Canis lupus familiaris: one gene and its partner. The main gene of each other region encodes a partner of the protein of the gene in region 2 in a complex. Links are inferred from orthologs where the notes say so. Each region holds a gene or a part of one and is shown on either strand. Other genes may lie near its edges. The genes, in order: EXOSC5 and EXOSC8.

What was found.
Region 1: EXOSC8 (region 2) and EXOSC5 share a complex: the UniProt entries of both Homo sapiens proteins name them as parts of the RNA exosome core complex. The link is inferred for Canis lupus familiaris from reciprocal best matches to the Homo sapiens genes EXOSC8 and EXOSC5.

Annotation. Positions count from the first base shown.
Region 1 is NC_049222.1:113,381,981-113,389,488, forward strand, and holds the start of EXOSC5 (exosome complex component RRP46), read left to right. Parts: upstream 1-2,531; 5' UTR 2,532-2,622; coding exon 2,623-2,770; intron 2,771-7,508. Other genes in the region: BCKDHA (2-oxoisovalerate dehydrogenase subunit alpha, mitochondrial), read right to left, coding at 2,025-2,132. UniProt on the Homo sapiens protein: Non-catalytic component of the RNA exosome complex which has 3'->5' exoribonuclease activity and participates in a multitude of cellular RNA processing and degradation events.
Region 2 is NC_049246.1:3,767,846-3,775,374, forward strand, and holds the start of EXOSC8 (exosome complex component RRP43), read right to left. Parts: upstream 4,813-7,529; coding exon 4,787-4,812; intron 3,755-4,786; exon of another isoform or gene 3,231-3,754; intron 3,093-3,230; coding exon of another isoform or gene 3,020-3,092; exon of another isoform or gene 2,952-3,019; intron 2,419-2,951; exon of another isoform or gene 1,965-2,418; intron 1,900-1,964; exon of another isoform or gene 1,857-1,899; coding exon of another isoform or gene 1,840-1,856; intron 719-1,839; coding exon 682-718; intron 535-681; coding exon 471-534; intron 1-470. Other genes in the region: ALG5 (dolichyl-phosphate beta-glucosyltransferase), read left to right, coding at 3,027-3,092, 4,797-4,968, 5,354-5,400, 6,410-6,478. UniProt on the Homo sapiens protein: Non-catalytic component of the RNA exosome complex which has 3'->5' exoribonuclease activity and participates in a multitude of cellular RNA processing and degradation events.

The DNA of each region.
Region 1 (7,508 bases), on a different chromosome or scaffold from region 2:
GACGCCTGGGTGGCTCAGCAGTTGAGCATCTGCCTTTGGCTCAGGGCATGATGCCGGAAACCCGGGATCGAGTCCCACATCGGGTTCCCTGCATGGAGCCTGCTTCTCCCTCTGCCTGTGTCTCTCATGAATAAATAAATAAAATCTTTTTCAAAAAATAAGTGGGAAAAATAAAAGTGGGGAAGAAAAAAAAAAAAACAAAGACTATAAAAATATATAAATTTAGGGCAGCCCCGGTGGCGCAGCGGTTTAGCGCCGCCTGCAGCCCAGGGCATGATCCTGGAGATCCTGGATCAAGTCCCACGTCAGGCTCTCTGCATGGAGCCTGCTTCTCCCTCTGCCTGTGTCTCTGCCTCTCATTCTCTCTCTGTGTTTCTATGAATAAATAAAACCTTTTAAAAATTTTTGTTTAATATATAAATTTAAAATAAAATATAATAAAAGGTAGATATCTGAAAGACCCCCTCCAAAACCCCTATCCCATCACCCACCAAAAAGAGGGGAGTCAAGAGGGAAAAGTTATAGGGAGAGGGAACCAGGAAGGAAACATTTAATCAGCCTCAAATGACCTTTACCTACTTTCTGCCCTAGTCCTGCCCACCTCCTCCCCACAGGCCCAGCCAATGGACTAAGAAGGACTGGGATTGGCCAGGCAGGATCTGATTATTCCAAAAAAAGTGACAAAGAACCGCCTAAAGGCACCAGGCTACCCCACCCCCAGCCTGCTCCAGGAACCCTCCCATAATCACCTGCTTTGAGGACTCCTTTTCCTACCTATTCTCCCTCCTCTCAAACCTGGCCCATCCTCTCTCCCCAACTCCTTCCCTGCTCTTCTCCCTAAAGTGTCTTTCCCATAGATTCTATCTTCCTTCCCTAATGAATTAGGGAATCAGAGGGTCAGACCCAACCCCACAAAATCTTGGCGCTTTTCCCTCCAAGGGCCCTCACCTGTTCAGGTCCGACCAAGGTCACCTCCTTTCTTCTCCTGATCTCCAAGGTCAGTTTCTCTCCCTTCCCTCCACCCCCACTTTCAACAACAGTGACCAACATTCCTATTGCTTGTATCAAATACCAGGTCCAGTTCTCAGCACATTACATACTTGATTTTTACCACAACCCTACGAGGTGGTCAGTTAGCATTATAGAAAGGGGAACGCGCCCCTCTGTTGAGGTCCGGAGGGGCAGTCCTCTGTCCAGCATGTGGGGGACAGGAACCCGCCTTCCCAAACACTACTCTCTGACCTGGGAAATTTCAGTTCATGGTTCCGCAGCCCAAGGCCTCTCTCCCACTGAACGAGCTTCTAAGTTAGACTTCCGCTGTGTGAACTTACAGTTTGCAGCATCAACCCAAGGGAATTCTGACACTTTTGATAAGAATTGAGGCATCTCTCAAGTGTTACCCAGAAATGTGGGTGGGATGACCAGGTGGCTCAGTGGTTGAGCGTCTGCCTTCCGCCCAGGTCCTGATCCTGGGGTCCTGGGATCGAGTCCCCCATCAGGCTCCCTGCAGGGAGCCTGCTTCTCCCTCAGCCTCTCTCTGGGTCTCATGAATAAATAAAATCTCAAAAAAAAAAAAAAAAAAAAAAAGAACAATAGTAAAACAAACGCAGCGCACTATAAAAGCCCGCGTCGGAGAAGCTGATCTCTCTTTTCTCCTTCCTGAGGGGGAGCCACACCCGGAAGCCTCAGCCTCGGGCAGTCGCAGTCTCCAACGCCTGCGGGGCAATGTCTCGCCGTCCCACCGTGTCCCTCCACGCGGCCTCCCGTGGGCATGAGTGGCAACTAAAGCGGAACCCCTTCTCTCTCTCCAAGTTGTCTCCCTCTCTCCGGGCCCACAGAGGAGGCTGCCTCACTTCTCCTCTCCTGAGGGAGTGGAAGTTCTTCCCGAATGTCCTCACGGAGCAGCTCTCTCAGCCCCGGTCCCCTCTGTGACAGCCCTTCGCTCACTCCCTGCACGAACCCCACGTCGGAAGACGGCGTTGACATCCCTATTCTCCCTCGGGAAAAACTCCCCAGGTACTCACAGATCTAGCCAGCCCCCGAGCCCAAGGCCGGCGCAGGAGCAGGAGACCAGCCTGGCCCAAACCTCGACTCGAGCCCCAGACCCTCGCTGCCGCCGCCGCCACCGCCATCTTGGCTCACAACCCCTCAGAGCTCCGCCCCTCTCCTCGGCTAGACTGGGGGCTGCCCCTTCAGGAGCCTGACTCAAATGCTAGCACCGCCCTGCCAAGAAACCACCAGCGACCCACCCTGCAGTCTCCAGGGCACGGGTACGGGAGGAACAAACAATCTAGCTTGCCAAAATTACTCTCATCACCTCATCTTAGTTGTTTCTGTAACAGGCAAAGGAGAGGACAACCTGACCAGAGCCTTAGGGCTTTAGGGCGCGGGGGCTTCGGGTAGGACGAGTCCATGCCAAGGCCCGCCCTCTCTTCGCTACTCTCCAATGGGCTTGCGAGGCGGGAGTGGGAGGGGCCAGATTGTTAGTAAACGCGGAGCCACGTGCGGGAACGGGTCCTGGCGCCCCGGACCTGCGCGTGCGCACTGGGCACGCAGGCTGGACGCCCGCGCGCGCTCCCGTGCGGAAGCGAGGTTCCGCAGCGGCACGTGGGGTCTGGGGCGATGGAGGGGGCGCTGCCGGCGGACGCCAAGACCTGCGCGGAGTCTGGAACAGAGTCCGGCCCTCGGGGCCCGGGCTGCAGCCTCCGGCACTTTGCTTGTGAGCAGAACCTGCTGTCCCGGCCGGATGGCTCTGCCTCTTTCCTGCAAGGTAAGGACTTACCCTAGGCAAATACTGCCTGTGCCACGTTCGCCACGTTGTATTTGTTTCGGAAGGTTACAGGTTACCGTGCAGAGGAGTGCCACTAGCTGGTAAGTGTCCCTCCTGCACGGGTGGTGCAGTTCTTGCCCGGGAGGATACTCCCGGATATGCCGGAGTAACGTATCCTGCGCTCCCGGCTAGAAGGGAGACGGTATCGCCACCGTGGTAAATACTCCGAGGAGAGAGGCGCTCAGCAGAGTAAATATCTCCCTTGATTAAATTCGTCTCCCGCCTCCCCCGCGGACACCCCGGGTCCATGCACGCCAGGCTGCGGCAAACCTGCCCTTGCGCGTAAATAGACCCGCAAATCAACACTACCGGCTTCATTACTCTCTGGACTGCGGGCATGTCTTTTTGTCCAGGTAAATACTTTTCAGAGTATTTGAGAGTGATTGTGCGGTATATATCCCTTTGACAGCAATACACATCTCTCCATACGTGTAAATATCCCTAGGTTTGGGGCAGGCTTTCCCTATTGGGTAAAATATCTCCTTCCCGTGACCAAATGCATCTCAGCTCCCTGCCCCGGGTGAATATTCCTCTGAAGATAGCCTAAGAATCACCCCCATAAATGCTTCAGCCTCCTCACTAGGGGCATTACCTTCTACCCAGGTACAAAACCTGTTTTCATTCATTCCTTCATTGAACACGTGTATTCGCATTAAGCACTGTCCTGGGTCCTGGGAATACGTGGATAAAATACATTTTATTTTATTTTATATTAATTTTTACTTATTTATGATAGTCACACAGAGAGAGAGAGAGAGAGGCAGAGACACAGGCAGAGGGAGAAGCAGGCTCCATGCACTGGGAGCCAGACGTGGGATTCGATCCCGGGTCTCCAGGATCGCGCCCTGGGCCAAAGGCAGGTGCCAAACCACTGCGCCACCCAGGGATCCCAATAAAATACATTTTAAAGGGATGCCTGGGTGGCTCCACGGTTTGGCTCCTGCCTCCGGCTCCCTGCATGGAGCCTGCTTCTCTGTCTGCCTCTCTCTCTCTCTCTCTGTCTCTCTCTCTGTCTTTCATGAATAAATAAATAAATCTTAAAAAAAATTTTTTTTTAAATCCCTGACTTAACAGTTTATGTTCTAGTCGAGGAGACAGACAAAAGATAAGTAAAATATGTAGGAAGGGGATCCCTGGGTGGTTCGGTGGTTTGGCGCCTGCCTTTGGCCCAGGGTGCAATCTTGGAGTCCCGGGATCGAGTCCCGCGTCAGGCTCTCACATGGAGCCTGCTTCTCCCTCTGCCTGTGTCTCTGCCTCTCTCTCTCTCTCTCTCTCTCTGTCTATCATGAATAAATAAATAAATAAATAAATCTTTAAAAAAAAAATATGTAGGAGGGCAGCCTGGGTGGCTCAGCGATTTAGCGCCGCCTTCAGCCCAGGGCGTGATCCTCAAGACCAAGGATCAGGTCCCTCATCGGGCTCCCTGCATGGAGCCTGCTTCTCCCTCTGCCTGTGTCTCTGTCTCTCTCTCTCTCTCTCTCTGTGTCTCTCATGAATAAATAAATAAAATCTTTAAAAAAAAATATGTCGGAAGATGCCTATGGAGAAAAATTATAGTAGGGAAAGGAAATAGGGTGTGCCAGAGAGGGTTGCGATCTTAACCGGATAGTCAGGAAAGGCCTTGATGAGATGGTAACATTTGAATAAAGACCTAAAGGTAAGGGAGCAAACCTTGAAGATAAGCAGGAGGAAAAGCATACCTAGGATGAAGAACTGCAGGGGCAGAGGCCCTGAGGCAAGGATTTGTCTGGTGTGTTTGAGGAATAGTCTGTAGACTGTGTGGCCAGAGCAGTGAGGAGGCTGGGGAGAGCTAAGGAGGATTGCTTGTCATGTGATGCATAATGAATGAGCTGGGGGCCACTGCTTCCAAGTTTTGCTCAGAGGGTTGACATGATCTGGATATATTTTAACAGAATCTCTCTGCTGCAGTGTTGACTGTATAGATATGAGAAAGAAGGGGAGATGCGGTGGCTCAGACCAGAGTGGAAGCAGTGGAGGTGGTGAGATTCTGGGTGTATGTATGTTGAAAGTAAAACACAAAACTTGCAGATGGTTCAGTGTTGGAGTGTGAGAAGGAGAGGGATAACACCAAGATTTTTTTTCCAAATCAGCTGTACTGGGAGATAAGGAGTTCAATTTGGAACATTAAGTTTGCAGTGCCTGGTGGACATCACAGTGACTATATGGACAGGGCAATAGGATATAGAAGTCTGCATTTGGGAGGAGAGACCCAGGGGCGCCTGGGTGGCTCAGTCAGTTAAGCATCTGCCTTCAGCTCAGGTCATGATCTCAGGGTCTAGGATCCCACCCAGCATCAGGCTCCCTGCTCAGTGGGGAGCCTGCTTCTCCCTCTCCCTCTGCCTGCTGCTCCCCCCTTGTGCGCGCTCTCTCTCTCTCTCTCTGTGTCAAATAAGTAAATAAAATCTTAAAAAGAGAGAGACTCAACCTAAATATATAATTTGGAATTCTCTGGCTATAGATGGTGTTTCACACTATTGATTGGATGAAATAAAGAGAACAAGTGTAGGTGGAAAGAGAAGAGGTCACAGACTAAATCCAGGGTTGTCTAACCTGTGAGGAGCTAGGAAAAGACCAGAGAAAAGCAGCCAATAAGGTGGGAGGAAAACCCAGAGAGGACACTGACCTCAGAGGGGCTCAGAGAAGTGTTTGAGATGTAAGGGCCCACCAGCTGCATCCGTCCTCCAGACCTGTCGGTGGACAGTCCGGACCTATGTCATCTGTGATGCTGTCAAGAGCTGTTTGGTGGAGTGGTGGGGTCAGGGAGGAGAAGAAGACAGCAAGTCAGACTTGTCTTTGAGAGCTTTGCTGGAAGAGGATCAGATAAATGGGGCAGGAGTTGAAGATGGATGTGGATCCAAAGAATATAGAATTCCTTGAATTGCTCCCGAAAATTGCTGGGGCCATGTCCCTGAGAAGATGAGAGGGAGGATCTCCTAGGTTCATGGGGGCCACAGGCAGCTCATCCAGAAAAGAATGAAGAGCAACGTGTGGATCTCGTCCTGTGTGGTTAAGTTCCCCTCTGAGGGCAGATTCTCCTGGAGCCAAGAGAATCCCTCAGCTCTGGTGCAGCTCCTTCTCCCCAACCCAGGAAACATGCCCTGACCCTGGGGACCTTCCCAGGCCCTCCTGGAGACTTTGCTCTTCTGCTAAAATCATATGCCTGGAGTTTCTTAGACTTCAGAAACACTGAGGAGGGTTAACGCCTTCCACGTTCTAAAACTCCCAAACTCTGGGACCCCTGGCAGACCCTGGAAAGTACGTCCCACCCGCCTTTGGCCTCCAAATCTCTGATGGGGTTGTTAAAAAGGCAGGGTCCCAGAATCCACCGCACACCTGCTAAGGCTGGCCCCTCTCCATCTGTAACCGCTGCAGAGATTCTGTTTGCAGTGTTTCGAAGCTGTGCTCAAGCGCTGTTTTTCCCACTGCAGACTGTGGGCCCAGCTGCACGTCAGAATGACCCGTGGGAGCTCTTATGCTCCCAGTGCCCATGCCCCACCCGGCAGCTGAATTAGGATCTCTGGGGGAGGGGGCTGGACGTCTTTTCAAGTGCCCCGGTGATTCTGAGCGTGCAGCCAGGGTTCAGGACCACTGCTGCGGTTGGCAGTACTTTTTAACTGGAATAGAGTAGGGGCGCTTGACGGACTCTGTCCAAGGAGCGTCCGACTCTCGATCCCAGGGCTGTGAGTTTGAGCCCCATGTAAAAATAAAATCAAAAAAGTAAATAAGTTGGGACGCCTGGGTGGCTCAGCAGTTGAGCATCTGCTTTCAGCTCAGGGTGTGACCCTGGAGTCCTGGGATCGAGTCCCACATCGGGCTCCCTGCATGGAGCCTGCTTCTCCCTCTGCCTGTGTCTCTGCTCCCCCCTCCCCCCGCCCCTGTGTGTCTCATGAATAAATAAATAAAATCTTTAATAAATAATAAATAAATAAAAAGTAAATAAAATTAAATGAACTAGAGTAGAGTAGAAAGCATTAGAGTGTCAGAGCAGTGATGGTAAGAGGCGTTTTATGAGGCCTTTGTTGCGTGTCCACACATGGAGATTTGCATGAACTTGGGGTGGTGCCAGAAAATACATTTTTTAATTGAGAGTTATGGCAAGAAAAGCTTCAACAGCCACTGGTGTAGTTCAGTCTCTTCATTTTGCAGATGGTAAAACTGAGGCCAAGAGAAGTGAGTACAATCAGCCAAGGTTACAGAGCTAGCAAGAAGCAGGCAGGACCAGAAGTCAGGGGTTTTGGGGGCTTTCTTTGTTTGGTTTTGGATTTTTTGAAGATTTATTTGACAGCAAGAGAGAGCGTGCATGCTTGCACAAGCAGGGGGAGTAGGAGAAGGAGAAGATCAGCCCACTTGGGGCTCGATCCCAGGATCATGACCTGAGCCAAAGGCAGATGCTCAACCGACTGAGCCACCAGGCACTCCCTGAAGCCAGGCTTTTGCTTCTCAGGTCTTACCTCCGCGGACCCCATTCGTGCCCACTCAGGACCACTCCTGGGTATTTCTCACTCTCGGGGGTCCCGATGACTGCAGAGTTTGGGGACGTGAGCCCGAGGGAAGAGAGCTAGGTTGGAGGAAGCTTTGTGAGGAGTTGAGACCAACTGCAGTAAGGAGGAGGAAGGTTAGCCCTCGGGAAGAACTTCCCGTTGAAGTTAAGAATAGC
Region 2 (7,529 bases):
TGTTTCAATGGCTCAGGCTAAAACTCAGGAATGTCATACAAGTTAAACTGGAAAATTCTGTGTTTCGAACAGAAAGTTTAATAAGACATAAAAAAAAACGTATCTTGGAGGCTTTGAAGAAAGAAGGGATAAAACACTACTGTTACTTCAAAATTTAAAAGAAGAACATTGACACAATTGACACAACAGTGAGTTTTAAAAACCACCAAAAAGAATACTTCTATTTAAAAAAAAAAAAAAGAGGGATGCCTGGTTGGCTTAGTAGTTGAGCGTCTGCCTTTGGCTCAGGGCGTGATCCTGAGGTTCTGGGATGGAGTTCTGAGGTGGGCTCCCAAGCAGGGAGCCGGCGTCTCTCTCTGCCTATGTCAACTGCCTGCCTCTCTATGTCTCATGAATAAATAAAAGCTTTAAAAACAGAAAAATTCTGAAGCAACTTCAATAACCTATTTTAGAACTCAAAATATCCTTACCTATGTTGACAGTTGTGGTTCTGAATTCACCAAGTTCTCTTCCATCAGGACGGCAGTTCTCTTTCTAAATAGACATTTACATGAAAATGGATTACATTTATACTTTACACACACCAGAGAAAAACACATTAAACCTCGTTAATTCACATAATTTGAAAAGATGCACATGATACTGTTATCAAAAGGTACAATACACATAACCTTTACTCACCAAAAATCTCCTGTAATACTCCAGAGGTTCCACAGTCCTGAAACATGTTAAAAACGTATCTGAGGTAAGTTAGTACATCTTAACATAAATCCAGAAACTGGCAAAGATCTTAGGAGTGTGAGGATGCAGCATAAATTTCCCCAATTTGTAACTTCCTTTCATGAATTCTGATGTTTATGCTGCCCCATACAACTATTAAAAGGTGCTCTTGCAGTCGTAATCAGACTCAACTGCTGTCCTTAACGCTACCTTAAACAAACACAGGCTGGAGCCCGAGCCTTTGGACATCTTTGGAAGAATTAATCCAATTATTACAAAATAATGATGTCACTTTCGCTCTGAAGCAGGGATTATCTCAACATGAGGAAAAATTACATCTTTATTTTCAGTGTCCTGTAACTGAAACTTAGCATATTCTTTAATTATGACCAAGGAAAGAAGCCTTTATATTAGTACCTGCAACTTAACAACCACAGAGGTTAAATGTTTTCGTTTTTACTTTATAGTTGTCGAAGGTCACGTGCAGACGCGTTACTCTGGAATTCAGGAGTTCCTAGACTCCCCACTAGCTAGAGCTTGTTTAAGAATGCTAATTTTTAAAGGAGCACATATATATCACTGTATCAATAACTCGAGAGTTTCTGCAAATAGATAACTGCGTCAATACGACGGTCTTCCTGTGGAATCTTATGTAGTTTACCCAATGAAAAATTTGTGAGGACAAAAATTTACGGGCTTCCCCAGAGTGACACCAAAAAAAGGCTCAAGTAAAACCTTCCCAACAAGGCACAATCCTTTTAGAAGGACGTCAGGGAGAGGGAGAACAGAGCGGCACGTGGTTCTGCCAGAACACCTATGAGAAGGCTACGACGCGGGCTCCTGGGGCCGCACGGCCGCCACACACGCCAGCGGCGCTCGCCTCGGCCCCGAGCTCCGCACACGGTCCCTTCCATCTTCCGTCGGACTGCGGAGAAAAAGCCCCCGTTCCTTTCGCCACGACCACCTCCAGGTCCTTCTGCCCGTCGCCTACTGCCGTGACGGAAACAAACCGGAATCTGGCAGGGTGGCCTCCAGGTGAAAAAAAATCCCAGCGAAGGGTTAAAGGGAGCCTCCAACCGCCAGAGTACAAACACGCGCCCGCCGGCCGCCCACACTCACTTGAACCCGGCCGCCATCTTCCCGCCCGCGCGCGTGCGCCTGCGCCAGGCGAGGCCGCGCCCCCGGGCCGCGCGCCTACCCCGCCTCCAAACTTTCGACAGACGCGCCTGCGCCCTTCGTCCGCTGCTGCAGAGGCCGAGGGCTGGTGGCCGCGAGGGGGTTCTCGTTCCGCCTCCGCTCGGAGGAGCCCAGCGCGCCTCTAGGCTTCTTGGCCTCGGACGCGTTTTGTCGAATCTGCTATTGGGAAAGAGACGGGTGTGTCTCTTTAGAAAAACGGTATGCTAGCTCAGGAGTTTAAGGGAAAGCCGACCTTATTGCCAGGAATTGAGTGAGTATTAAGTGTGGGGCATTATTCCAGAGCTCCTGCGTCCTTTCCCGCCTCTGTCTCAGGCTGGGCCCTGGGCGTGCCTCACCCCAAGGGAAGGGCTCCCTGGAGCTCCAGTTGCTGAGCAATCACGTAAACTCTGTGCGCGCTGGTGATCGCCCCGCGGTACACTCTGCGGGCCCCCGGAGGGGCTCCTGAGGAGCAGCTTGTGCCGTGGGCTGCGTTTGTTCTCAAAGCCGTCACCTCCCTCCTAGGTAGGTTTGCCAGACGGAATACAGAACATCCAATTAATTTTTAATGTCAGATACACAAGCTAATTTTTCCCCACTATGAGTATACCCCAAATAGTACATGTTATTAGTTGTTACGGGGCGGGGGGCGGGGGCGGCTGGGAGCGAAGAATGTTTTAGAAATAGATAATGGGTGCAGGAAATTGTGAATGTAACCAATACCACCGTATCGTACCCTTAAAATGGTTAAAATGGCAAATTTTATGCTGTCTCCGTTTTTAAAGACTCATGGAATACAATAAAACCTTTTTAATGGGTGGATTGCACGGTGCGTGAGTGCTGTCTTAAGACGGCTGTCGAAAAGCCGCTCACTGCCTACCTGAAATTCCGACTGGGTGGAATCCTGTGTGTGCCTGCGGGTTCTGTCAGCCCTGCGGGGAACCCGGCGCCCGCCTCTGCGCGCGAGCCTGGCCGCCAGGGACGGCGTGTGCGCCGCCTGGCCGCGAGGGGCGCTGTGGGCGGCGGGCGGCGGGCGGGCTCGGCCGCTCTGCCGGCGGGAGGCGGAGCTGCGCGGCGGCGCTTCCGCGTGTGTGTAGGCGCTGGGGAGGGCGCGCGGCAGCCGGGTATGGACGATGATTGCGCTCCTGCTGCAGCTGGCTGTGCTCGGCGTGGCGCTGGCGGCCGCCGCCCTGACGCTGGTGAGCAGAGGGCTGGGGACCGACGCGGGCCTGGGCTCCGTCCTCTCAGAGACTCGGCCGCCACGCAGCCTGTCCTCTGCCCCGCACGCTTCGACGCGTCCCTTTCCCCCCACGCTCTCCCCCGAAACTTGACCAGGATTTCCTCTCCTAGAACTTCACAGCCCCTTTCTTCCCTTCTTTGTCTTTATTTTGGAGCGTTACCTCCCTCTGCGGCCAGGCCCTTGTAACGTTGGTTCCCCGGGGGACGTGCGCCCCCGTCAGCCTCCACCGGCCCCGCCGCCCCCGACCTCTGCCCTGTCAGTCCCGACCTCTCCACCCCTTCCTCCTGCATCTGCAGCCTGTGCAGTTCCGGCTGCACCCGGGAAGGTCTCGAGCCCCCCCAGGAGGTTTGCGCTCCCTGGACTGACCCTCCTGATGCGGGGAAGCAACTAGAAGGTGGTGACAGCTTTGACGAGAGCCATCTGCTAGAGATTGGGGTGAATCAGTGGATCAAGAAGACCCAGGAGGGACACAGTAAGGCCGAGGCACGCAGGCCTGCTGTTACCGTTGTCTGGCAGTCCCTATGACCCGGGATTAAACACCCTAAATTCGCTGCCTCTAAAGGAGGGCACAGTAGAATTGAGACTCGGATTTTCTTTGCCATCACTCTGGAAACAAACATTGTAAGCACTTGCTGATTCATTAGTAATGGTTTGCCAAGTGAGCTTTCTCCCTTATAATTTGGAACGAGCCTGCCATCCAGTTAGTACGTGGAGAGGTTCCAGCTTCCTTGACACCCAGATTAGCCCCCCTGACAGCACTGCTGGGAAGGCCGTTCTTCCGCCTTGCCGGGTTTGCACACTTCACAGTTTAGAAATAACTTATAGAGAAAAAGCAACGTGTCCTGACTTCTTCGGTGATTTGTGTCGGGGTCAGAAAGGAGTCCTCTCTCTCCGTTAGGGGTAGATGGAGATTTCAAGGTTTTCTCAGGTTTTTGGTGGGGGCAGAGTTTTGACAGAATCCTAAATTGACTCTGTTTATTTGATCTATCTGTTTTATAGAATTAAATGGGTGCATTTTGAGGATGAACTGGAAGTATTTGATCCTACCAGCTTGTGATTATAAGAGCTACTATTTAGGGCACCTGGGTGGTTCAGCAGTTGAGCATCTGTCTTGGGCTCAGGTCGTGATCTCGGGGTCCTGGGATCGAGTCCCACATTGGGCTTCCCGCAGGGAGGCAGCTTCTCCCTCTGCTTATGTCTCTCTGCCTTTCTCTTTGTCTCATGAATAAATGAAAATAAAATAATTTTTTAAAAAGCTAACATTTATAGAGGACTTATAATTTGGGGGTATTGTATTCAATGTTTTATGTTGTGCGATCTTTAAAACAATGCTAAATGAATGTTGTCATCATTAGCCAGGGGTTGGAGATTCAGGGCATCTTAAAATGGATTGCACTTCTCTGGTGACTATTCCCTATTAAATCTGGGATGACAGAGGCCTAGGGATGACAGGTGGGAAGACACAGCTCCTAAGGCATTAGTTCCTACCAATGGAAGAAGGACAATTATTAGTTCATAAGTAAGGGATTTGAATTTGGTGTCACCTCCAGACCATTCTTAATGGACTAAAAACTGAGAGTGAACATTTAACAACAACAATAAAAATCACATAAATGATGTAATCTTACATAATATAGTTTCTTGTTAACATACCTACTTTTAGATTTCCTTTGTTGCATTTATAACTGCTACAAAAATGCCACATCTCCATCAACATGAAGAGGAGAAGTTCTTCTTAAATGCCAAAGGACAGAAGGAAACTTTGCCCAGCGTATGGGACTCGCCTACCAAACAGCTCTCCGTTGTTGTGCCTTCATACAATGAAGAAAAACGGTGTAAGCCCAATTTCATTTTTGGGATATGGGGCCATTGGGAAGAAAAGGAAATTTAAAGTATGAACTTTACTATCTTTGTGAGAACATTAGTAGATGTGGGCTCTGATGAGTGCATAGTTGGTAGTTGTAGTTCATGAGAGTGGAAACAAATGCCAGCTATAAAGAATACGGTCAGCATCATGAAGTCATAGGACTGAAGTGTTCTAGAGAGACATTAAGCTAGTTGTGGACAGAAAACAGGCCTTCTAGTTGGGAAGGGCCACTGGAAGAGGTCCGAGAGGGCTCTGTTAGACTATTCAGACTTTTTCCATATGTAAACTGAGTGGGGGCTTGGCAAATCATTTTCGAAAACAATTTTTCAGAGATGTATTTTTTTTTCTTTAAGTGCCTGTAATGATGGATGAAGCTTTGGGCTATCTGGAAAAGAGACAGGTACCATATTTCTCTTTCAATATGATGTCCCTAGTTAAAACTAGACTAAATCACCAATTTAGAGATCCCAGGCTAGATCTGTTGAGAGAGGCAGTGCCAGCCATGCCCAAGCCGTCGAGGTCACCAGGGCCTCCTGTGCTCAGCTTGTCCCCTTCCATCACGGGTTAGCATGCAAGCCCAGCACATGACACGCTACCTCCAGACGCACGCAGGTGGGTGAACCCAGAACAAACGGAAAGCAGAAATTTCTTATGTACCCTCCCAACCACTTTGTATGCTCTTGCCTGATGATATATTTAAAATTAAGTATGTCTGCAGACTGTGTGGCAACACGATGCTGTTTTTACTTTAGTGACTTTTTAAAACATTTATTTGAAAAAGACTTAGAGTGAAATTGTTTTTCTTTATTATTCAGAGGAGTTCCGCTCATTTATTTTCTCTACTTTCCCTGCATAAATAGAAGAAAAATAGTATGTGTCCTTGTTTTGTATCATCAGCTGCTGCTGGAATCTTCTTGGAGAGTTTAAGGAAACAAAATGAGCTTTGTGGCTGGTCCGTTTTTTTTTTTTTTTTTTTTTTTTTTTGGTCTGGCGGGGGTTTTTAAATGAGAAAACAGGCTAAAACTCTAACTCATCCAATATCATAAGTTAGAAATAGTGTGGCCAGATTAGAATTGCACATTCTAACCTCATGGGCTTTTTTTTCTCATACATATTTGTATCCTCTCTCATAAGTGCTCAGCACCACAAGCACCTGGCTACTCCACAGATTCGGTGTGGGTAGGCAGTCAAGGGGGGAGCAAGAGTCGGTGTTTGCCCTCTCCTCCTGTCCCACCACTCTCCTCCTTTTAGTTGTTGGCCTTTTTATTTTATGTGGTTTGCATACTTATTTATATTCATGTTAATATGCATCACACTAAAACAATTGTTATTTAAACTCCTTACAATTTTATCAGAATTCTTGATGCCACTTATGCCAAATTGTGGTGTTTTATTTTTGTTTCTTGCAGAAGCAAGATCCTACGTTCACTTATGAGGTGATAGTAGTTGATGATGGCAGCAAAGACCAGACTTCAAAAGTAAGTAAACTTGCTTTTAGGATTGCTACTAGGTAGAAAAGAAATAGAATAATTTGCAGTTGTTAAGTCTTACTTCAACTCATCAGAGAATGCTAAAGCTGTTGTCAGCACCCTCTACTTTACAGCATGAGTAGCCAAAACAGAAATTTCATCAATGGAAAGCTGGAAAATATACCTGCTGTTTCCTCACTCCTTAAGACCAGGGAAGCTTTGAAGATCACCAAGTCAGGAGAAAACATGCACAACAATTCACCATGGCCACTGGGAACCTTCTTTGCCTATCAATATTTGGTTCCTTTTTCCTAAACACAATTTTTTTTCTTTATGCTCCACCTTGCCTTACAGTTTCTAAAGTAATATGCAAATATAGGATGCCTTCATATCTGGCACTGGGTATCAGATATGTCCTTTAGCATACTTCCATCCAGATTTACCTATGGAAGGTAACAAGTGTCTTAGAGTATCATCCTCTCACATTCTTGCGTTCTTAGACCTATAGCTACTGAGCTGCTAGAAAAAAATAGAAGCTGGTCTGTCAGGAATGCAAACACCAGATGAGAATAATGTCACATTCCCTATGGAAATTAGGGTCCAAAGGAGAAAGTTATTGGGTGCCTGGCTGCCTCAGTCAGCAGAGCATGTGACTCTTGATCTTAGAGTGTGAGTTTAAGCCCCACATTGAGCATGGGGCCTACTTAAAAAAAAGGGGGGGGGGGGGCGGGTAGGACGCCTGGGTCGCTCAGTTGGTTAAGCATCCAGCTCTTGATCTCAGTTCAGGTCTTGATCTCAGGGTTGTGAGTTCAAGCCCCATGTTGGGCTCCACACTGGGTGTGGAACCTACATCAAAATAAAATAAAATAAAAAATAAAGAGGGTGCTGTTGATGAAGAGAGATAATATAGAAAAGCAATGTGGAAAAGCAAAGGGTATGGACCATAGTACAGTGGACTGATGACTGAGTGCTGAAGAGATGAACACAGCAAATACGTATCACTGTTTCATGGCTTTGAGTATAAATCAAAAAGTACTGGCAGAGATGCCTGGGTGTCTCT